Linked DNA regions of Cricetulus griseus. The protein of the gene in region 4 purifies or fractionates together with the protein of the main gene of each other region. This does not show direct contact. Links are inferred from orthologs where the notes say so. Each region holds a gene or a part of one and is shown on either strand. Other genes may lie near its edges.

Region 1 (4,747 bases), on a different chromosome or scaffold from region 4:
TTTAGCATCGGGCAGTGGTGGCAAATGCCTTTAATCCCAGCACCCGGGAAGCAGAGGCAGGCAGACCTCTTTAAGAGCTAGTTCCGGACTGGAGAGATGGGTCGGAGGTTAAGAGTACTGGCTGATCTACTGGAGGTCCTGAGTTCAATTCCCAGCAACCATATGGTGGCTCACAACCAACTATAATGAGATCTGGTGCCCTCTTCTGGCCTGCAGGCATACATGCATGCAGAATACAGTATAAATGATAAATAAAACTTTAAAAAAAAGACTGAAGTTTCACAAAAAGAGCTAGTTCCAGGACCGCCTCCAAAGCCACAAAGAGTGAGATGATGACAAGGCAGGACGCTAAAACAAATCATATCAAAAAACTGTTGACATTGTTTATGGACATCAATTAGACTGACAGTCTGCCTCCTCATCCTGCAAAGCAAGTAGTTAGGAAAGAAACAGTAGAAGGAAACAAAAGACACTGACACAGAAAGGCTTGAGGCGAGGGAAAGGTAAATTGTTTTTTAATCTATGCATTAATTTTTAAATAAAAACTAATAAATCCAAGAGCATTTGTATTATTATAACTAATTCCAGCAGGCTACAACACAAAGTGCATTCCTGGGTGGAAGGCAACAAAATCTCAAGGTCAACATATTAAACATCTATGAAACAATGGCCCTTTTCTCCTGCCCAATTCTTTGGGTTTTTTAAGACAGGGTTTCTCTGTGGCTTTGGAGGCTGTCCTGCAGCTAGCTCCTGTAGACCAGGCAAGTCTCGAACTCACAGAGATCCTCCTGCCTCTGCCTCCTGAGTGCTGGGATTAAATGCGAGTGCCACCACCGCCCGGCTCCTGCCCTATTCTTACACTGCTGGCTGACAGCCACATCTCCCCAAGCAGATACTGTGGTTTCAATGTGAAAAGCCCTCCATAGACTCACATTTTGTATCTATCACTTGGTCTCCACCTGGTGGTACTGTTTGCCTTGAGGTTTTATTGCCTGGCCAAACGTCCTGTTCACTTTTTGCTTCCTGACACAATGTGACAGGACAAGGGTTGCTCCTGGAGTTGCTCTGCATTCTCCAGGTAATGAAATGTAACACCTTGAACTATGAATCCTCCTAATGCTGCAACCCTTCAATACAGTTCCTCATGTTGTGGTGACCCCCAACAATAAAATTATTTCATTGCTATTTCATAACTGTGATTTTGCTGCTGTTTTGAATCATAATGAGTATTTGTGTTTCCCAATGGTATTAGGTGATTCCTATGAAAGGTTCATTCAACCCACACAAGAAAGACTAAACCTTTCTTTCTTGAAGCTGCTTCTTGTAAGGTATTTTCTCACAGAAACAAGAGAAGTAGCTAATACAGCAGGGAACTGAAACCTCTCAATGAGAAAAACAGCTCTAGGATAGACTTCTAGATCTTGAAACTTTGAATTTGCCTAGTGAAGAGACCAACTTACTTTGGAACCCTATAGAAGCTGGAACTGGTGGAACAAGCCTAAAAGCCCAGTTACTTAGGGGGACTGAGCAGGAGCGTCACAAACTCAAGGCTAGACTGGACAAATACCGCCCAGCCCCAGAATGTCCTTTCTAAGTATCTTTAAAAATAAACATATAGGGCCAGGCAGTGGTAGCACACACCTTTAATTCCAGCACTCAGGAGGCAGAGACAGACGGATTTCTGAGTTTGAGGCCAGCCTGGTTTACAGAGTGAGTTCTAGGACAGCAACTCTACTGAGAAACCCTGTCTCCACACTTCTCTCCCTCATGTGTGCCCCCCAAAGAGAAAACTACAATTACTAGTCTATCAACAATAACAACTGTGAGTGTGGTAGTCTGAAAGAAAATGGCCCCCAAAGGAAGAGGCACTTTTAGGAGGCGTGGCCTGGCTGGAGTGTGGTCTTATTAGAAAAGTGTGTTACTGTGGAGGTCTCACATATGCTCAAGCCATGCCCAATGAGGCAGTTTACTACATGTTGCCTTTTGATCAAGATGTAGCCAGCACCACTTCTGCTTACACACTGCCATGTCCCACCATGATAATGGACTAAAGCTTGGAAAATGTAAGCCATCCCAATTAAATGTGTTTCCTTTATGACAGCTGCAGTAGTATCTCTTCACAGCAATGGAGACCCTAAGACAGACAGCAACAGAATAACAGGATCTTTGGAAAACTCAAAGGAGGCTTGAGAATAAAGTATGTGCTGACAGAGAGCAAGGTCACAGCTATCTCCCAGAAGCTAGAACAAAAAGGCAGAGACAAGATGAGAAAAGAATCAGCTAAAAGGCTCAGTTCTCATGAATCCCAAGAAGAACAAAGGGAAGAAATCACCAAACTTAATGTCTTCTAAGCTGCATGGGCAAGACAATTCACAATAAATTTTCACACAAGAGAAAGGGAAGCTACAGGCAGCCTCCAAATCTAGAACCCATTGAGGAAAGGACAGCAGAAAAGGCACAGCTCTTCTCACAGCAACTCCAGGAACTCTAGGTATCACATGCACTCATCTGAATATAAGATGCTGCAAGCAATACTATGCCCTCAATGTTCACAGATGTATTCTGAACCACCATTGAATTAAGATTTCAACACACTATATACAAAACATCTTCACTTACCAGCTTCCCTTTTCTTAGATTTCACCTTAGGCTCAACATCCACAAGTAATGTATCCAGAGGTAAGCTGTCTGGTAGAATAAAATATCGGATGTTATTTCCTCGGATACTCAATGTTTCCAACTGTACAGGTTCTCTGTTCTTCAGGGTCATTTTCACAGCTTTAAGATGTGTATTCATGCTGACATCTACACCTAAAGGGAAAGAAAGCACAACAATTACCAACACGATAAAGAAGGCAGCTGAAGGCCAGGCATTAGTGGCAAGCACCTTTAATCCCAGCACTCAAGAGGCAGAGACAGACAAATCTCTGTGAGCTCGAGGCCAGCCTGGTCTGCAGAGCAAGATCCAGGACAGACCCCAAAGCTAAAGAAACCCTGTCTCGAAAAACAAAAAAAATAAACAAAAAAATAGCAGTTGAAATCATACTATAGAGTATTATCCGGGGGCTCAAGAGGTGGCTCAGAGGTTAAGAGCACTGACTTACGGTCCTGAGTTCAATTCCCAGCACCCACATAATGGCTAACAGCCACCTATAAGGTCTGGTGCCCTATTTGGTGTGCACTCTATACATGCAGATAGAACACTGTAAAGATAATAATAAATCTTTAAAAAAAAAAAAGTATTATCTGGTGCAAGTTTCTGAGACAACTTAATACATGTACAACTGGGGGGTGTCAATACAAATCAGCAATTTTTCTTTCATAAAAGATTTTTTCCCAGCCTGAATACTGAGTGCTGAGTACATGTACAGAATTGAATGCACTGGTGGTGTGGTTAAGTCACACCGGTTAGCTCAGCATTCAAGAGGCTGGGTAGGGCAAGAGGAACACCAAGAGTTCAAGAAGAGCCTGGACTACAGAGAAAGAATCCATCTGAAAGACTCAGGAAATTCATCAAGCCATGTCCACCTTTCTTTTTAAAAACCTATGATATTTTTTCCTATCACTAGGAACTCCACCCACCTTCCTGAGACAAAGTGTATCTATGCAATGCACCATAGGCTGACCTCAGACTTGTGATTCTCCTGCCCAAGTCCCCCACCCAAGTGCTTGGTCTAAGGCAAATACCACACCCAGCTTAACATGTCTATTTATTTTTAAAAAGTATATTTTTAGGATTCAGAGAGATGGCTCAATAGTTCAGTGTGCAGAGCTCCTGCAGAGGATCAAATCTGGTTCCCAGCACCCACATCAGGAGGCTCATATGTAAAAACTGCCTGCACTGCAGCTCCAGAGGGAGCCAGTGCTTCTGAACTTCAAAGGCACCTGCACTCTAATGCATACATACATAATTAAAAGTAAAACCTTGGGGGCTGAAGAGATGGCTCAGTAGTTAAGAGCACTGGCTGCTCTTCTAGAGGACCCAGGTCCAATTGCCAGCCCCACATGGCAGCTCACAACTATGGCAGCTCCAGTTCCAGAGCCTTTGACCACCTCACACAAACAGATGTATATGCAGGTAAAACACCAATGAACATAAAATAAAAATAATAAAATCATCATTATCATCATCATAAAAAAAAGAAAGAAAAGAAAAAAGGCAGGTGGTGGCAGCGCACACCTGTAACCCCAGCACTCGAGAGGCAGAGGCAGGTGGATCTCTATGAGTTCAAGGCCAGCCTGGTCTACAGAGCTAGTTCCAAGACAGCTAGGGCTATACAGAGAAACCCTGTTTGGAAATAAAATCCAACAAACAAAACTAAAGATTCTGTGTGTATTAATATGAGTGCGTACATGAGTGTGTGTGTGTGTGTGTCTTGTTCAATCGTTTTCCGCTTTTCTTTTAATTTATTTATATAAGTATGGATAGGAGGGAAGGTAGGTGCCTATGTGCTGTGATGCATGGACAACTCACAGGAGTTAAGTTCTCTCTCTCCTCCCTCTACAAGGACCCTGAGGAACAAACTCAAGTTGTCAGGCGTGGCAGCAGACACCTTTATGCACATGGCTGAGCTGGCACTCTCCACCTTGTGTTTTGAGACAAGAGTCTCTCATAGAGCAGGAACATGTAGTATTCAACTTTTTTGGAAGCTGGGATCTGAACTCAGGTTCTCAAGCTTGAACAGTAAGTACTTTACCAACCAGGTCATTTCTCAGGTTCCTTATGTCTGTAATCCTAACATTTGGG
Region 2 (5,892 bases), on a different chromosome or scaffold from region 4:
ATAAATGCTTCCCATCTGGGAAACGTTCAGTTTGTGGTCCCAAATTTTCTATCAAAGTAGAACATTTAAAGCCACATTTCTTAGAAATTATGCTTTTTATGGCTGTATTTCTTCCTCTGGCTTTGCACAGAAATATCTTTCATGATAATATGCCATTAAAAGAATAGCTTTGTCAGTACTGATGAAAGTCAAGACAGCTTTGCATCTCAGTGTGTGGACATAGCTCCAAAGGACATAAATGAGTACCTGTACTCATTTATGTTCTGGGAACGGATGTCATAGGCCAAAAGAAAAGAACATTGTTTGCAGGACTGATATGGCAGGCATCTCCTGACCCACCCCAGAGGACTTATGGTGACATGTTCTCTGATGTGGAATCCCCCTTATCCTTTACCACACTTACAAAACACAGTGCTGTCATCTACTAATGGACCTCAAATCAGTGTGGGATAAAGGGAAAATTTAATGCATTAAAAACAACACATAAAGTACTTTTCATTTAAAAAAATAATCATGTAATTTTTTATAAGCTGCATAGATTATGGCAAAAAGTTGGGGACACTGGTTTACTTAGGTTAAAAATATTTATTCCAAGCAGATTCCCTTTCTCCATATTAAAAAGGAAGTAAGACTGGAAACTGGTCAGACTCACCTCTAAATCCATTATAGATAAAATACCACACTACGGGAAAGAGATTGAGAAAGTTCAAACAGGGAAAGAACAAACCCCCCAAAAGTCAAATTGATCCTTAACATTTTATTAGACTTTAATTAAGCACATAAAACTGTACTACTTAATATATTTCTCCATGAACTTTTTGTGAAATTCAGATCGAAGTGTATCATTTACAAATCTTTTGTCTTTCTTCTGATCATCTATACCCTTTGCACAGTTCTTAAAAACGACATCATCGTCCCACCTAAAGGGGAAGAAAAGAAAATAAATACCTTATAATTCTATCAGGAAACAAGAACACCACACAGGCTGTAAAGCTTCATCAACACAGACACAATCTGCCTCCTGACAAGAAAAGAACTGGTGTGCCTATGGTGGAAGTTGTCACAGCAGGAGGCACCCATACTCAGAGCACATACCACTCCCCTAGTGGAAGCAGCTCTGAGCTACAAAGCAGAAGCAGACACACATACTGCGCTCAGGTAAAGGTGTGATATTTTCAGGTCTAAAACCAAGAGGCAGGGCCATGGTCCTGATCCAACACCACTAGACAGTAAGTGATCCATTTCCTGATGCTTTGTAAAGTTTTGTACATACTTCTAATCAATTATATCCATCATGCTGGTCATACATCATAAAGCAACAAAAGACAGAACTACAGGAATGTAACAATGAAGATTCACAGATTGGCCCCAGTCTCCATTAATACTGAAGAAGTATCTGCTAAGGAGCTCAGAGTAGAACTCAGCTGGATTTCAGAGAGCATGAAACACACTCATGGAAAGGTGCCATGGAAAGTAAAGTGCATAACGTCAGAGCAGCACCTCCCATATAAAAACATAAACCCTTCCTCATGACAAACACAGACACAAACATACATAAAACACAGCTTACATTGTGCTTGTGTGTGTTGGTGTATATTTACCAGGAGAAATTGCACAAGGAAAATGAGCAAAGACTATGTGTACCTATGGGTACTGTGTCAGTAAATTTGCCTTGATGTTGCACACATGAGAAGCTCAGCAGCATGGTAAACTGGGATATTTACTCCTGCATCCACAAAGGGAAGAATAAACCAGACTGCTTCATATTCATTTATCGTGTTTTGTCTCTTAACTCATCCCAATGAGCTTTTGGTCCCTTGCTCCCTTCTCTTCGAACACACATCAGCATACAGTATTCCCAGACTGTCACTCATTCCTCTCACAACACTAATGGGAATGTCTTGGCTGCCCTCTTCTCTAGGTGCTTAGTCTTAGCCTAGGATTTTAAATCCAAATACTAGTTTTTAAGCACTTACTATGAACTTATACTACTCCAGTACTATGAACTTATACTGCACCCTACTCCAGGCACTGACACAACCCTCTGCCCATGCTGGTGACTCCCAGACGAATTATTACCAGCTTGAACCAACTGCAGAAACACACAGACTAGATACACTTAGAGATGTGTAGAGCACTCCAATCCTAGCATGCCTGGAACCTGTTTCCTCTTTCATGCTCAGTATAAGCCATACTCCTTCCCATGCCTGCCTTGCAACTGCTCAGGTAAAATGCTTGGAGTCTGGTCTCTAAACTGCTGGTGTCAGCAAACCTTCCCTTGACTGTACTGTTGTCTTCAAGAATGTGTGTTAAGTTTTTAGCTTTATGTCACCACAAGGACTGTTCTTTTACTGTGATCGAGTAAAGAAACGAACGAATTTAGAAAAAAGCAGCTATTATCGTGACTTTTAAAAGAAAGAACCATGGTGCTGGGATGAGAGAAGAGCTTGGAAGAAGATGGAGTTTTCTTTGTGTGTGAGCAGGAGCATGACCTTTGGGGTGAATGGGCAGGAGAGCAGCTGGGGCAGTGCTTCATTCCTGATGAGACAGCAGCGGTGGAGGTGAGCAGAAAGGAAAGGCAACGGGACTCCTCACCCCTGACACAGTACAGCCCCCCCCCCCCATCACACACACACAGTGGCTCCTGTGAGTGCTCACTCTACTTTCCTCTGCATCCTCATCTGTTGTCACATTATGCAGACTCTTTCCAGCTCTCTAGTGCCCTCCTCCTTCACATGCAGTACAGTGTTCACTCCCAGCCTGCCTCTTAGCTCGGCTAGCACTGGAGACCCGAGTCACCTCTCACCATCACTTGCCTATAGTACATAACTAACTTGACTTCCACGCAACAGAAGTTCCTGCAGGACGAGTCCCAATAACCTTGATCATCAAGTGTCAACTTCTAGTTTCACTGTTTAGTGACCTCTTACAGGAATAGGAGTGTAAGGAAGTCTATGTCTTTCCACCTTGTGACCTGAATGTATATCTATGAATACTCACAACTGTATGATCTGTGTGTATCTTACAATATCAAACATCAATATGGTCATGGCAAGTCCCCTGAATCCTTCTAGAACTGAACTGTGAGGGGTGGTCTTGAGGACCCTTCCACTCACATCCCACGTACAGGTTTTGTAGCTACCGTCATGTAGCTAGTGATCAGGTTTAGACCATGACTTGGCAGACACTTGGTTATTATGAGTATGCATTAAAATGAAGTCATCCTGCCTCTCTTCTTCTCCCATTATTCTAAAATCTGACTGAGGTTATATATAGGAGGTGGGGTCTTAGAAGCCTTATGTAACACATAATACAAATAATGTACCACACATATAGATCAACCCATTATTTTTTATCCCCTTGGTTAAGACAGGGTTTGTGTAGCCCTGGCTGTTCAGCCTAGTCTCAAACTCACAGAGATCCGCCTGCCTCTGCCTCCCAAGTGCTGGGATTAAAGGTGTGTGCCACCACCATCTGGTCAACCCATTACTTTTAGTACCTTCTTTTAACCTTGAAGTTGGCCTGAGGCTGGGATGGGCCAGTGAGATTGAGGAGGGGGTTTCCACTCAGAATATTTTCCATTCGAATTCTCTCTTCCTCTGCTTTTTGTTCTTGTTCCTGTCAATGGCAGAGGAAGACACAAAGTTACTAACTTCAAGTCAGTTGTCTTATATTGGTTCACAAATGAACATCTGTCAGATGGTAGTTTTCTTTCTCCTTTCCTTTCTCCTTTTTGAGACAGGTTCTCTTATAGCCCAGCTGGCATGGAACTTGCTAGGTAGCAGAGGATGACCTTGAACTTCTTACCCACTTCCTGAGTGCATGGTTGTGTACCACAGATGTACACAACAAGGCCCAGTTTTTCAGTGGTAGGGACCTAGGGCTTCGCACATGGCAGGAAAGCACTTTACCAACTTACTCATTCCTCTTTTTGATTCTTGACAAATACCAGAAAAATCTTTGTAAAAAGTAAATACATTGCTATTTTTATTACAAATATCTCATTCTTTCCAAAATAGTCAACAGTCTCTCAATTGTGAGAAGCTGAGATACAGATGTAAACGTTTTATTTAGTTACTTACAGGTTAAGTTTAGGAGCATTTTAATAAACATTTAAAATTTAAAAACATATTGTCAGACTTGTAGGTGAATGGTCAGACAGCCTCTGGATCAAATCTACACTTTCCCCCCAGGCTTGAGATTATATTTTTTGAGAACATGGCCACCCTATTAATATAGGCACTGTGGCCACTTCTGAGCTGTAATAGTAACAGAGCCACTACTTGTGTGTCTGGGTGATCAGCCACACAAGAATATTTACTGTCTGGTCCTTACAGGAAGTGTGCTGATCCCTAACAACAGGCTAATTAGCTTGAATATGCTGCTACTGTAAACACCTTCAAAAAGCAGCTAAGGAGACAGGAATAAAAAGAAGTGAAGGTGTCACTCAACTCTTAGAAATACCAACACATTAGATGAAACTCCAATAATTCTTAAGACCTTAAAAAAATGCCTACTTATTCCTTAATAATCAATCAGAAAACCACCAACAGTTAGGCATTTAACAGTTGCCCACTAGTGGCATGCCAATGACTCTTCTTGAAAATTAAAAAAAGATACAAAACATAAAACTATTTATTACAGGAGTGGCACTCTATGCCAAACTTTAATGAGAACCATTACTTGATGAGAACTGTTATGCTTTCTTCTATCCTGAGTTTGGACAGCTCTGAGTTCCATGTCCTCTTTTCTGAATTCTTCCTTGACCCTTCTGACTCACATGAACTCTTTCCCCCACGTGCTTGGTGTTGGTCCACATGAGTGCTTTTCCCTCAAGTCTTTTTCTCTTTTTAAAAAAACAAAACAATTACTGGCTGAAATAAAATCCCACACCAATATCCACACAAAAGCTGTGCTGATTTGGTTGAATATGGAGCAGAGGCCTCTAACTTGATGCTATCTGTGTTCAAGATAAAAATCACCTCTTTCTCTCAACAGACCCAGGCTTCTGTCTCCACAGAAACAACGCACCCAACAATGGAGATCATTTACCTACTTTCCTGACAGCTTTACCATTAACACCTCTCTCACTTGCAATTCTATTTTTCTTTTAATTTTTATTTTATCTGGTGTTTTGCCTGCAGGTTTGTCTATGCTCCACATTCATGCTTGGTGACTGAGGAGGCCAGAAAGAAGTGTCAGATTCCCTAAGACTGGAGTTTCAGATGTTACCACCACATAGGTGCTGGGAATCAAACTCGGGTCCTCTGCAGGAGCAGTCAGTGCTCTTAATCACTGAGCTATCTTTCTAGTTCTGATTTTCAACTCCCACCATGCAGATTATAGTTCATTTCATTGCATATGAGGAGTACTGAAACAGCCTCAGACTTTTTCCAATCTCTCTACTTTTGCCAGAAGATTGATTAATCCTGCTGAAATCCATGAACCCATCTAAGCAAAACCCCAATTTCCTTAGTATTGCTTTACAAACTCCAGCACCGTTGTACACACTCTACTTTCTTGAGGCAGTCTCGCTATGTAGCCCAGGATGCCCTCAACCTTGAAAACCTGCCTGCGCTCTCAGCACTGGGACCTAGCTTACTGATTCTTTGACTTGGATATTATTTTCTCCCATTGTATAGGTGAAGAGACTGTGGGTATTAAACAGTTAGGTAACTTGCTTGGATTGTATAAAACCTATTCAGTTTTTTGAGACACATGTCTCAAGTTAAGCAGGAGACAGGAAGAGAATCTTTGTAGACCATTGGTTCTCAACCTATGGGTTGCAACCCCTTTGGAGAGGCTGGGCAGTTGAATCACCCTTTCATAGGGGTTGCCTAAAACCATTGGAAAACACAGATATTTACGTTATGATTCATAACAGTAGCAAAA
Region 3 (5,892 bases), on a different chromosome or scaffold from region 4:
TGATGGATCCTTCCGACGCCAGCGTAAGGGCTATGAAGAGGTGCATGTGCCTGCTTTGAAGCCCAAGCCCTTTGGCTCAGAAGAAGTGAGTGAATTGCTTTTCTCAATTTTGTCTTTCTCCTCTCTTCCAGTTTGGTTTTAGCCATTGACTAAAATGTTACCTTGTCTCAAGGATAATTTATTGTAGAGGTGGAAACTGTTCCAGAGTTTTCCCATTGTGAGACAAGGAGGCAATACTGTTGTCTCTGGACAGGTTTATGATTGAGAATTATGAACAGTGATTGCCAGGGAATGAAATTATGGGGAATCACAAAATGATATCATGGTTATCTTGTAAGAATAGTAATCTACGGAGATGGCTCACAGGTTAAGAGCACTGACTGCTCTTCCAGAGGTCCTGAGTTCAATTCCCAGCACCCACATGATGGCTTACAACCATCTACATGCCAGAACCCTGTGACATAATAAATAAGTCTTAAAAAAAGAAAATAGTAATCTTATAAGAAATCTTACAAGAATGAACAGTTTGCAAAAGGATGCTATAACATAAAGTGCAAAACATTTCTTCCTCTAGCAACTGCTTCCTGTGGAGAAGCTGCCAAAGTATGCCCAGGCAGGATTTGAGGGTTTCAAAACACTGAACCGGATCCAGAGTAAACTCTACCGTGCTGCCCTGGAGACAGATGAGAATCTGCTGCTGTGTGCTCCTACTGTAAGCATTGCCCCGCCTGCTTTTTCTGTCCTGGAATGTTTTGGTGGCTAGTTGGATCTTAATTTTTACATCAGGCTTTATTCTTATGGTTATTTTGAGACAGGGTCTCACTATGTAGCCCTGGCTGTCCCGAATCTCACAATGTAGGCCAGGCTGCCCTTAAACTCACAGAGATCTGCCTGCCTCTGTCTCTGCCTTCCAACTGCTGGGATTAAAGGGGCGGCATACCATTCCTGGCTATTCTCTGTTCTGTTGTGGAAGACATAGGACAATCCAGTGGTCAGTTCTCTCTCTCGTTGTTAGCCCATTAAAGTCAAGGCAGTAGCCATATAGTTCATCAGACATGAACAGACTTTGTCTCTGACCTGCCTCTAGGGTGCTGGGAAGACCAATGTGGCCCTGATGTGTATGCTTCGAGAGATAGGGAAACACATTAACATGGATGGCACTATCAATGTGGATGACTTCAAGATCATCTACATAGCTCCTATGCGGTCCCTGGTGCAGGAGATGGTGGGCAGTTTTGGAAAGGTGAGTCACATCTTCTCGAGAAGGTACTGGCTGCAGATGGCCATGAAGTGGGGGAGGGGCCTATGTGCCACTCTTTCTTTCCTTAGGGAATCTCTGGATTTTTTTTTTTTTTTTTTTTTTTTTGCCATTTCCAAGGTAGAACGTGACCCAAGTGATTTCTGAAGGAAAAATGTCTTGGCCTCTCTTACATGGACTCCATTTTTCTTTGAGCATCTCCAGAGTGCTTGTGGAGTCATGTCTGGCCCACGGATATGGTTGATAGCTTGTGAGTTGTTACTCCAGTTCCACTCTCCTAAGTGTGTCCAGTTTCCTGCTCCATGTGGGGCTCCTAGAGACACTTTGCCTCGTCAACCTGAGTGGAACTGAACTTGTTTAAATAGTATTTGGTCATCCTCCTGATTCTCCAGATACTTAACTTCTCCTAGTCCCCGGCACGGGAGCTGCTGGCGGCCCTTGGAGCGCCGTCTTCCAGACTGCACACATGAGGCAGGCTCCCTGCCGCTGATCCGTACTTCCAGCCCCGTCACTTGGTTTGCTGATGATCCATCGTTTCCTCCCCCAGCGCCTGGCCACATACGGCATCACTGTTGCTGAGCTGACTGGCGATCACCAGCTGTGCAAGGAGGAGATCAGTGCCACCCAGATCATCGTGTGCACCCCTGAGAAGTGGGACATCATCACTCGCAAGGGCGGGGAGCGCACCTACACCCAGCTGGTGCGGCTCGTCGTCCTGGTGAGTCGGGCGCGAGCGTGAGGAGAAGTTATGGTCGGGGCCTTTGCTGCTCTTGTTGTTAGTGGGGTGAACCTGGGAGAGCAGGGCCCAAAAAAGAGGCAGGCTAAAGTATCACGCAGTAGCCAACTTTATTCAGAGCATCAGGCAATTTATACTCCGAGGGTTAAGAAGAATCATAGGAATAAGGTATTGAGTCACAAGGGTAAGCCACACATGGTAAAAACATGTTTTTCATAGAGGCCTGTGAATAATAACAGTTGAGGTAAACTCACTACTACCCACTATACCTGGGAGGAGTACGAAAACATATTCCAAGAACAACTCTGTTTTTGAAGAAACTGAGGTCACCAGACTCTTGTTTCCTTGGCGTTTTCTCCCGAGTGACTCCATTTTTGGACTGTGTTCTAATGGGTGGATTTGCTGTGTCTACCTGTTTCCTGTGTGCACTGTCCTTCATACATACTGCCCTTCCCTTTAACCCAGCACCTGCATGTCGCAGAGGCTTCCCTTCCCTCCCTGTCAGTGCATGATGTTTGCCACGCTCCCCATTTTTGTTTGTTTTTTTGAGACAGGGTCTCTATGTAGTCCTCACTGCCCTGGAGCTCACTCCAGATCTGAAATATTTTGAATCAAATGGAAACACACAAAAATAATTTTGTCCTCCCAAGAACATTGAAATGCTTTGTAAATAATGCATTTTCAGACAGGACAAGTAAGGAATTGGGCCATGTGTTCCAGTTATATGGAAGCATCCACAGGAAATGGACCTTGAGCCAAGTGTTGATTCTTGTTTTTTTTTTTTTAATATTTTATTTAACTTTTTTTTTAAAAAAAGATTTTATTTATTTATTTATTATATATACAGCATTCTTCCTCCATTTATGGCTACATGCCAAAAGAGGACACCAGATCTCATTACAGATAGTTGTGAGCCACCATCTGGTTTCTGGGAATTGAACTCAAGACCCCTGGAAGTGCAGCCAGTGCTCTTAACCTGAGCCATCTCTCCAGCCCTATTTAACTTTTTTTAATGTGCATTCATGTAAGGATGCCAGATCCCTGGAACTGGAGTTACAGACAGGTGTGAGCTGCCATGTGAATGCTGGGAATAGAATCTGGGTCCTCTGGAAGAGCAGCCAGTGCTCTTACCCACTGAACCATCTCTCCAGCCCCTGATTTTTGTTTTTTTAATTAATTGCATTTGTTTATTTTCTGATGTTGTATATAGTATGGAGGTGCATGTGTGTGCCTGTGTGCCTGCGTGTGTAGGTTGGTCAGAGTACAACTTATGAGAGTCAGTTCTGTCCTACCATGTGTGTTCTGGGAGTTAAGCTCGAGCCATCAGGGTTGGCAGTAAAGTGCCTTTACCCACTGAGCTATTTCGCAGGCCTCTGAGGGTTGATACTTTACAGTGGCTAAGAAAGTAGTTCATGTTCTGTGTTCAGAGTGGGAGTTGGCAAACTGTTGCTACAAGTTTTTGTTTTATTGAACACAGTAGTGTAGATTGGTTTATGTACTATTTCCAGCTACTCTTGTCCTGATTGTTGCTATGGCAGAATTGAGTATTTGTAACAAGGGTTACATGGTTCACAAGCCTACGGTATTACATGGTTGGTACTGGATGTCCAGCCCTTTAAGAAAAGTTTGCTGACCCTTCTTTTAGAGCCTTGCTCCTCCATGTCTTTCCTATAGCAATCCATACAGCTGCTTCTTAGGAGTGCCAAATCCCTGGCCTGTTCACTCCTTTGAATTCCATTTAAATCTCTAGGTCTTCCAGTGCTTACTCTGTCTGAGAAGCACTGCTGTTGGCAGTGTGACCTTATTGTAAGTGAAGCCTTGTAGTTTTTGTTCTTGATGAAGAGACCTGCCCCAAAGTGAAGGCCTGTTTGATACAACCTGGGCAGAACCATCATATATTTGTAAGATTTATGGTAAAGTGGAGGACTCACTCGTAAGCCTACACTGAAGCTGTCTTTGTTCTTTAGGACTCTGACTTGAGGCTCCTTTTTTTGTCTTCATTAGGTGTCTTAGGCTATATACTTCTACAGCAGACTGTCTCAGGGGAGGAGGCTATATTTCTGGTTTGCTGTCTTTGGTTTCCTTTAGGATGAGATCCATCTTCTACATGATGACAGAGGTCCTGTCTTAGAAGCTTTGGTGGCCAGGGCCATCCGAAACATTGAGATGACCCAAGAAGATGTCCGACTCATTGGTCTCAGTGCTACCCTCCCCAACTATGAAGATGTGGCCACCTTTCTGCGTGTTGACCCTGCCAAGGGCCTCTTCTACTTTGACAACAGGTATAACGTGTTACTAAGGCAGACTTCCTGTCCCTTCTCTAAGGGACACACTAAATGACTTTTAGGGGTCCTGTGTGTATTTAAAAATCATTATTGCTTCTGGGTCAGTGGAAAGCTACTTTTTTACCCACAGTATTCTCTGCTGGAAATCTCATTTGTATAACTGTTGAACTTCTAGCTTCCGCCCAGTGCCTCTGGAACAGACATATGTGGGCATCACAGAGAAGAAGGCTATCAAGCGTTTCCAGATCATGAATGAAATAGTCTATGAGAAAATCATGGAACATGCTGGAAAAAATCAGGTCTGTTGATGGTTCTTGAACGTTTTCTGTTTTTGACATAAGCAAAATTGACAAGATAATAGCAAGAATCACCAGTGATCATAAACGACATTAATTATTACTACAAAACTTGCCTTAAAGCTGTGTGGTGGTGGCACATACCTTTAATCCGAGCACTTGGGAGGCAGAGGCAGTTGGATCTTTGTGAGTTTGAGGCCTGGTCTACAGAGAGAGTTCCAAGACAGCCAGGACTCTTACACAGAAAAGCCTGTCTCGAAAAACCAAGAAAACAAAAACAAAAACTCTTGCCTTAAAAATGTGGTTAGGAGTTAGGAGAGTTGATACATGCCTGTAGTACCTAGTACCTAGGAGGCTGGGGCAGGAAGACCTCAAGCCAACTGTATAGCTTGAGCTATACAGTGACACCTCCCCCCCCAATCCAAAACAAAAACAAACCACCACCACCTCCACCAACAACCCAGAGAACAAAGGAATGATTAGGAACTGGGGGTGTAGCCCAGTGGTAGAGCATAGACATAGCATGTGTGAACCCTGGGTTCAGTTTCTGTCACTGCATAAATAGGAGATGGAATAAAGAGCAATGGCTGCTTTTGCAAAGGACTCAGGTTCAGTTCTTAGCACCCACATGGAGGCTCAGAGCAGTCTGTAAACTCCAGTTCCAGGGGATCTGACTCCCTCTTCTGGCCTCTGTGGACATCAGATACATACATGGCACACATACATACATACATACATACATACATACATAGTATTTATACATATAAAATAAAGATTAATAAGTAAGTAAATGGGTAACTTAGAAGGAATGGATCACTTCCTGAAAAGAACTATTAATGTATCCTAGATGAAATACAATCTGAATAATACTGTAGTCATTAATGATAGTTTTATAATTAATATCTCCTCTTCCCAAGTTGGTGAAACTAGAAAAATCTGTCTATAAGATAGCAAAAACAAACCTGCAAATTAAAATCTAGTGAAAGCAAGCCAGTGAGATGGCTCTGCAGGTGACAGTGCTTGCCCCTAAGACTGGTGACTTGAGTTTGATTCCCAGAACCCACCTGGCGGAAGGTAACTCCACTGACCTCTACAGGTGTGCTGTGGCGTGCATGCATGTCCCCCACACAAAATAAATAAATAATTAAAGCAAACAAGCTATGGTGCATGACTTTAATACTGGGTCTTTGAGTTCAACACCAGAGTGCTTTGCATAGTTTCAGTTTGGCCAGGGATACATAGTGAAACCCTATCTAATGAAAGCACATTTTATTTGGAAGTTGAACAGAGGTTGGCAATGTTTAATGTGGCAAGAAG
Region 4 (6,539 bases):
GGTGACGCCTTTAATCCCAGCACTTGGGAGGCAGAGGCAGGCGATTTCTGTGAGTTTGAGACCAGCCTGGTCTACAAGAGCTAGTTCCAGGACAGTCTACAAAGCCACAGAGAAACCCTATCTCAAAAAAACAAAAACAAACAACAACAAAAAAAAGAAGCAAGGAAAATGAGACAGAGAAAGGCAGGCTAAAGTCAGCCTAGTCAGAAAACTCAAGAGTGGCAGGGCAGGCTTTCCACTGCTCAGGGTGAGATTCTTACTCTAGCCCCAAGACCCATGGCACTGAGTTAGGAGGACATGTGGCATTCCCAGCAAAAGAGCATATGACTCACCTTCTGGATAATCTCAGGGGTCATTCCCACCAGCTCACCCAAATCCATGGGCTCTCCTGCACCCTGGAGAAAAGAAAGGGAGAATGGGAGGAACTCACAATACCAAAGGCACCTGTGTAAGGACAGCTATTGGGGCTTGGAATGGAACACTTACCACAACACTGGGCTGTGAGCTTGGCACGGCCTGAGGTACAATAAGACCAGCCTGTGGTTTCAGAGTAGCCAGAGCTGAGAGAAAAGATGATGTTAGAAATGGGACATTACAAAGCAGAGCCAGCAAAGGGTAGGGAACAGCAGGGAAGAGGAGACACCTTCTCGAGCAGCAGTGACTTCCTTCGTGAGACGGGCAATGACTCGGCAGGCAGCATCGTGTTGGTACAGAGCATGGGACAGCTCCTGGCGGGTTGTCTGCAGTTGCTGGCGAAGGGTGAAGCTGTGCAGCATGACTGCATCCTGGGAGGGGGTAGGCCACTGTGAGGACTGGGGGAGAGCTGGAGAACTCGGCCAGCCCTGGAGAAGAGGACACCACCTCCTATTCTACACTGAAGCCAACCTGAACTACTCAGAGACCCAAGCTAACATATGAGTGACCCTGAATGCCCTGTAAGGCATTCAGGCTCCTACTCCACACCACACCCTGGACACATAGACAGAAGCAAGATCTGGCTCCTTCCAACCCCCAGCTTTGCTTTACTTCAGCAGTAAAGCACATATGTTAATGCCATCACTTCTCTGAAAGGAAATAATGCTGCTGTGGTTATTTACTAGCTACCCTCAGCAAGTGCAGTGCTCAGTAATGAAAGAGAGTCCCTGACGTCACAAGGCAAATTTGTCAATTTTATTCTACTTCTTACAGAGTACAGACAGACAGGACTAATCAATGTCCTATAGTCAGGAAGGTCAAGCCTCAGAGACTGAGCAGTGTGCCCCAAGTCACAAAGGCTGACAGTGGAGAAAACTTTGGAATCCAGGTCTGCAAGACTTCCAACAAGCAGGCTCCTCTTGTGCTGCCATCCTGCTCCTCACAAATGAAATATGGCTGGCAAGAAATGAGGGGGCTGCTCAGTGGTACAGCATTTACATTAGCCCTGTGTTCATCCCCCCAAAGAGTCAGGCCTGGTGGGCACTTGTAATCCTAGGCACTAGGAGGCTGAGGAGGAAGCATCATGAGTTTCCAGACCTGTCTAGACCACAAAGCAAGGCCCTATCTCAAGAAAATAAGAGAGCCTGGAGAGACAGACAGTCCAGGAGTTAAGAGCACTTGCTGTTCTTCCAGAGGACCCGGGTTCAATTCCCAGAACCCACATGGGGGCTCACAACGGTCTGTAACCACAATTCCAAGGGATCACACACCCTCCCCCTGCCTCCCAAGCACCAGGCACATAAGTGACACACAGACATACATGTAAGCAAAAGACCCATACACATAAAATAAAAAATTAAAAAGAAAAGGAGGGCAGTCCCACCTTTTTAATCCCCAGGCCCAGAGGTGCATACTCTTCAAAGAACTCACCCACTCATCCTGCAAGGCTTTCAGAATGGCTGGGATGCTGGTGGCAGAGGGAGGCTTGGGCCGAATTGGGTGAGCAACTGCCAAGAGAGGCAGCAAAGCAGGTATGAAGAACCAGAACCCCGGGGGCTCACCCCTCCCCCACCCCTCCTTTCTTTATTCATTCACAGCCACCATCTTCTCCACCAGACTGGCTCCTCCTCCCACTCTTGAAGGCTGAGTTGAGCTGGCCCTGGACTTAGGCTATCGGTCGGGCGGGCACCTTTGATGTCGATGAGCTGCTCCTCTGAGAGAGGCTGGTTGTTGATAGGATCTGTGCCATTCTCTGCAATGTACTTCTCAATGAGCCGCCGCTCGTACACATGATTAGAGACAGGGGACACACATGGGTGCTCTGGCACTTCGTTGGAGACTATAGAGAAAGGCAGGTAGTGAACACAGGGTAAAAGGAGGCCTGGGCTAGATTGTATCGGCCCCCACAAGACCCTGTCCTCATACTCAGCTATCAGAAAGCAAGGTCTGTGACAGCAAGCCAGCTGGTACTTGGCCCTAGAATACTTGCCAACTACTTAACTAGGTTCTCTAGTCTGCTGATAATAAAAGCCAGTAAATAATAACTATATGTCAGTCCCATAAAGAGTGGTCAGTATGCCCTGCCATCTCATTTTTGAACAAATATGACTGACTAGGCATATGACAAATAAGTACACACAACTCAAACCCCTGCCATTCGTCTGGAGCCCTAGATGGAACAGGCAGAAAAATTTCTAAGCAATGTGACAAGCACTGATAAATTAAAAAATAAATAAATAAAAAACCTTTCTATAGTGTCTGCTACTGTGTGCCAAGCAAGATTCTATTCTAGGCACTTGACAGAATAGTCTGTGTACCCTTGAAGATGGGCACCACAGCTGTCACTGACCTCCAGGACAATGCAGATACTAAGCAGACACTTGATAAACATCAGAACATGGTACATCCTGGGGCTCAATAAAAAATATCCCAAAGTATGGAGCCTGGTAATGCTGAACTACCAAAAAGGAAGAACTCAAAAGCAAGCTCAGAATCAAGGTCTCTCTGACCTTCTCAGGCCCTCTTGTTTCTCTAACGTCCCCTAAACAGGGACAATTGGTTCACCTCAGCAGACGAGTGAAAGCAACCTCCACACTCAAGACTCTTCTGAGAGAGATTATTTATTGCCCGAGAGACTTATCACGTAACAGAACAGCTCTTATTCACCACATAATTCTGTTTGCCTTCCCACCTGAGGCCTCAAGCTCCTATTCTCTTCTGTGGCACATGGGTCTGTACAAGCTTCCCTTAGAATCACCTATTTTTGCAGGATTCCCATGCATAAGTAATGAAGTATGGGAGGAAACATGGCTTTCCTGTGCTATTCTGTTGGCTTATCTCACTCACATACTCAACCACTGAACACTTGAGTGAGCTTTCCCTCCCCTACAAAAAGGAAGGATGGCCCAGGGCATGTAAGCGTGCTCTCTCAAGATTAAAAGGAAACAAATCGTTCGAAAATACTTTGCAAACTGAAATTTCTTATGTGTGATGTGAATTCCCTTTTCTGTTTGTCATTTCCCTCCTTCCTTTCCCTCTTTGAATTAATGGCAACGTTCTGAGAAGAGAATGGAGAGGGAGGGGAAGCTAGTGATGTGGTAAACAAGAAGGTAAACACCCGCAATGCCGTTAACAAAACACCCAATGACAAGACAGCATACAGTATGGAAAAAGCATGGATCCGGGCTCAAAGAACCGAGCTCCACCGCCCAGCTGTGCCGCACACCCCTGGATAAACCTCATGCTTCCTAAGATTTCTGACGCCCTCTCTAAATCACGGATCTTTATTTCCATTCAGACAATTTTTTTTTGTAAGCATAAAATGGGATCATCGTTTGGAAGTGCGTCGTACATCAATACAGGTCTCCTAAATGGTCGCTGTTTTCATTAGTCATACTGCGCGAGGCTAGAAGCCAGACACCTGGCTTCCAGCCTTGCCTCCAAGTCACTGCGTGATCCCTGCAAATCGCAGACACATCGATGCCTAAGCGACGTTCCCGAGCAATACCCACTGCAACGCTTTCAATGGATGCTGCTGCAGATGGGGAAACTGAGGCCCTGGACCGCTGCTGACCAGGTCACAATCGGAGGCGGATGCTGGACACGTCCTCGGTTTTCCCACACCAGGAGCTGTTTTTCCCTGCACCAACTCCCCCTTCCCACCCCCCCACCCCGTTCAGGCCCGTCTCCGCTCAGTGTAACAACCACAGTCATTCTTCCCAGCTACGTGAATTGCGCGGCACTGCGCAAATGCACCCCGCACGCAGGGCCGCGGGCTCCGGGGCCCCGGCCGCAGCCACGCTCCCGCCTCCCGCCGCAGCCAGCACTCACTCGAGCAGATCAGGGACATGGCGCCGTCGCAGCGCTGCCAGTCGCCTCACAGCGGGCTCCCGGACTAGCTCTGCAGCCTCCGCGGGCCACTTCCGGTCCCCCGCCGCTTCCGGGGCGCTCGGACGCGGGTTAGACAGCTGCCCGGCTTGGCGATGCTCGGACAACTGCTTCACGTGGGGAGGTGGCCGGTGGCGCGCCTCAGCCTTCAGCAGCTAACGGAAACTGCCCTTTCCCAGCATGCAATCGAGCAGGAAAAGGCCCGCCTCGGAACACTCGGCTGTTTCCGCATTGGCTCGGCTCCTTCCGGCGAGCTCACCCAGAGGCCGGAGGCGGGAAGGTCAGTCGAAACTACATTTCCCATGAGGCTGTGGGAACCATAAACCCAGGAATTTGGCCAAGGCTGCTTTTGACGTGGTGCTGCTGTCACCCAGGGCACAGCAGTATATGAGACGGTCGTGTGCAGGACAATTACCTCAGGAGCTTATAAAAATACATATTTCTAGGGTCTGCCTTAGAGAATCTGTGGGCGTGATTCTGAAGCCTGTGTTCCTTGGCCTCTTTTTGAGAAACAATGCCAGGTGACCCTGTGAATAAAGCACAAATGAGTAAAGAAATTAACGCTGCCCAGGTTCTGTCTCTACTCTTATTCTGTGAATTTAGACAAGTCACTGGCTTCGTCGTCTACCACGTCTTAAACACAGTCTCTTTTCTAGACTGGAAGGAATTTAATTCCCAACGTCTTGTGTAGATATTAAAAGAATGGAAATTTTCTGGGCATGCTCATGTATGCCTTTTATCACAGCACTCAGCTGCAGAGGTAAGTGGATCTCTGTGAGTTCAAGGCCAGCCTGGTCTACATAGTAAGTTCCAGGACAGTCTGGGCTATGTAGAAAGACATAGAAACATGTCTCTAAATAAGTAATAAGAATGGAAAGTTAGAGCTGGTCATTGGTGGTGTACACCTTTAATCCCAGCACTCGGGAAGCAGAGGCAGGAGGATCTCTGTGAGTTCGAGGCCAGCCTGGTCTCCAGAGCGAGTGCCAGGATAGGCTCCAAAGCTACACGGAGAAACCCTGTCTCGAAAAAGAAAAAAAAATTGTTTGTGTGTGTGTGTGTGTGTGTGTGTGTGTGTGTGTGTGTGTGTGTGTGTCACAGCACATGTGTGGAGATCAAAGGAGAAATGGTTTACTCCTTCTATCATGTTGATCCTGGGATTGAAGTCAGGTTGTCAGACTTGGCAATAAGTTCCTCTCCCCAGTGAGCTATCTCACCAGCCCAAAGGGTGGTGACATTTTTGATGAGACCTAAATGAAGGACAGGTGTCAGTCCTGAGACCACAGGTTTCTAATGAGCCAACCTCTTCTACAGCCTTACCTCATCTTCTCAGCCATATTCGCCCTTCAATGCCCCCAGAATACTGGCATGTGGAGGCTCAAAATGTTTATGTGGACAGCTTTCATCAATTCCTTTCGCCTCCCTGGCCAAACCCTCCAGTGCAAACCTCAGCCTCATCTTAAGTATAGCCTCTTCTGCAGCCCCTTTCTTGACCTCTCACTGGTTTTTGGAATTCTCCAAAACACTTTTAGTAACTATTGTTTTAATTATTTATTTAGAAAGTCCTTTTAGCACCTGGGTCCTCTACTAGATTGTACTACTCTCTCTACTAGTTCTCAAGAGTCTAAGAGTGTCGCTCAGTGCCTGACACTTAGCAGAGACATTGCCAGTATTGTTTACTGAATGGCAGGCTGCCTGACAGGCCAGGCATCTCAAGTATTTAGATATAGAGAGGAAATAAATCAGTCTAAGTGGGGCTCCTGAACCCAAGGTGATTAGACTAGATTGGTCTGGCAACAAAGTAGCATTTCACTGCATTTTGAGCTATGAAGTGATAACCATACTTTCAGAAGTTTCCTCTGGAAGATACATACAAAATAGTTTGGAACAGGATAGTTTTGTGTAGTATCTGTTTCCTGTGAATTGAAACATTTCCTCAAGAGGGAGAAAGGAGTCCCCTAAGACTCAAGTGACAGTTACCAGGCTCAATAACTTCTGAATGTTGTTAAGATTCACAAAGCAGAGAGATGGCTCAGCGGTTAAGAGCACTGTTCTTCCAGAGATCCTGAGTTCAATTCCCAGCAACCACATGGTGGCTCACAACCACCTTGAATGAGATTTGGTACCCTCTGCTGGTGTGCAGGCTAAAGACTGTATACTAAATAAATAAAATCTTAAAAAAAAAAAAAGATTCTCAAAGCCCTCCCTAGTGTTATAAAGCAGCAAGTGATTTGGGGAGA

Evidence for each region. Proteins that work in one complex are often made in the same cells at the same time.
Region 1: the proteins of Prpf19 (region 4) and Snrpd1 fractionate together in Homo sapiens (co-fractionation; 3 studies listed by BioGRID). This does not show direct contact. The link is inferred for Cricetulus griseus from reciprocal best matches to the Homo sapiens genes PRPF19 and SNRPD1.
Region 2: the proteins of Prpf19 (region 4) and Cwc15 purify together in Homo sapiens (co-immunoprecipitation; 4 studies listed by BioGRID and IntAct, with this or other methods). This does not show direct contact. The link is inferred for Cricetulus griseus from reciprocal best matches to the Homo sapiens genes PRPF19 and CWC15.
Region 3: the proteins of Prpf19 (region 4) and Snrnp200 purify together in Homo sapiens (affinity purification with mass spectrometry; 3 studies listed by BioGRID and IntAct, counting the BioPlex papers as one, with this or other methods). This does not show direct contact. The link is inferred for Cricetulus griseus from reciprocal best matches to the Homo sapiens genes PRPF19 and SNRNP200.

What each region holds. Positions count from the first base shown.
Region 1 is NC_048595.1:225,858,800-225,863,546, forward strand, and holds part of Snrpd1 (small nuclear ribonucleoprotein Sm D1), read right to left. Parts: intron 2,812-4,747; coding exon 2,620-2,811; intron 1-2,619. UniProt on the Homo sapiens protein: Plays a role in pre-mRNA splicing as a core component of the spliceosomal U1, U2, U4 and U5 small nuclear ribonucleoproteins (snRNPs), the building blocks of the spliceosome.
Region 2 is NC_048597.1:127,981,169-127,987,060, reverse strand, and holds the end of Cwc15 (spliceosome-associated protein CWC15 homolog), read right to left. Parts: intron 3,619-5,892; coding exon 3,500-3,618; intron 921-3,499; coding exon 791-920; 3' UTR 738-790; downstream 1-737. UniProt on the Homo sapiens protein: Involved in pre-mRNA splicing as component of the spliceosome. Component of the PRP19-CDC5L complex that forms an integral part of the spliceosome and is required for activating pre-mRNA splicing.
Region 3 is NC_048599.1:51,356,264-51,362,155, reverse strand, and holds part of Snrnp200 (U5 small nuclear ribonucleoprotein 200 kDa helicase), read left to right. Parts: coding exon 1-85; intron 86-574; coding exon 575-712; intron 713-1,087; coding exon 1,088-1,243; intron 1,244-1,805; coding exon 1,806-1,976; intron 1,977-4,082; coding exon 4,083-4,276; intron 4,277-4,454; coding exon 4,455-4,578; intron 4,579-5,892. UniProt on the Homo sapiens protein: Catalyzes the ATP-dependent unwinding of U4/U6 RNA duplices, an essential step in the assembly of a catalytically active spliceosome. Plays a role in pre-mRNA splicing as a core component of precatalytic, catalytic and postcatalytic spliceosomal complexes.
Region 4 is NC_048596.1:49,555,046-49,561,584, forward strand, and holds the start of Prpf19 (pre-mRNA-processing factor 19), read right to left. Parts: upstream 4,469-6,539; 5' UTR 4,265-4,468; coding exon 4,246-4,264; intron 2,255-4,245; coding exon 2,105-2,254; intron 1,923-2,104; coding exon 1,846-1,922; intron 843-1,845; coding exon 644-842; intron 561-643; coding exon 487-560; intron 396-486; coding exon 333-395; intron 1-332. UniProt on the Homo sapiens protein: Ubiquitin-protein ligase which is a core component of several complexes mainly involved pre-mRNA splicing and DNA repair. Required for pre-mRNA splicing as component of the spliceosome.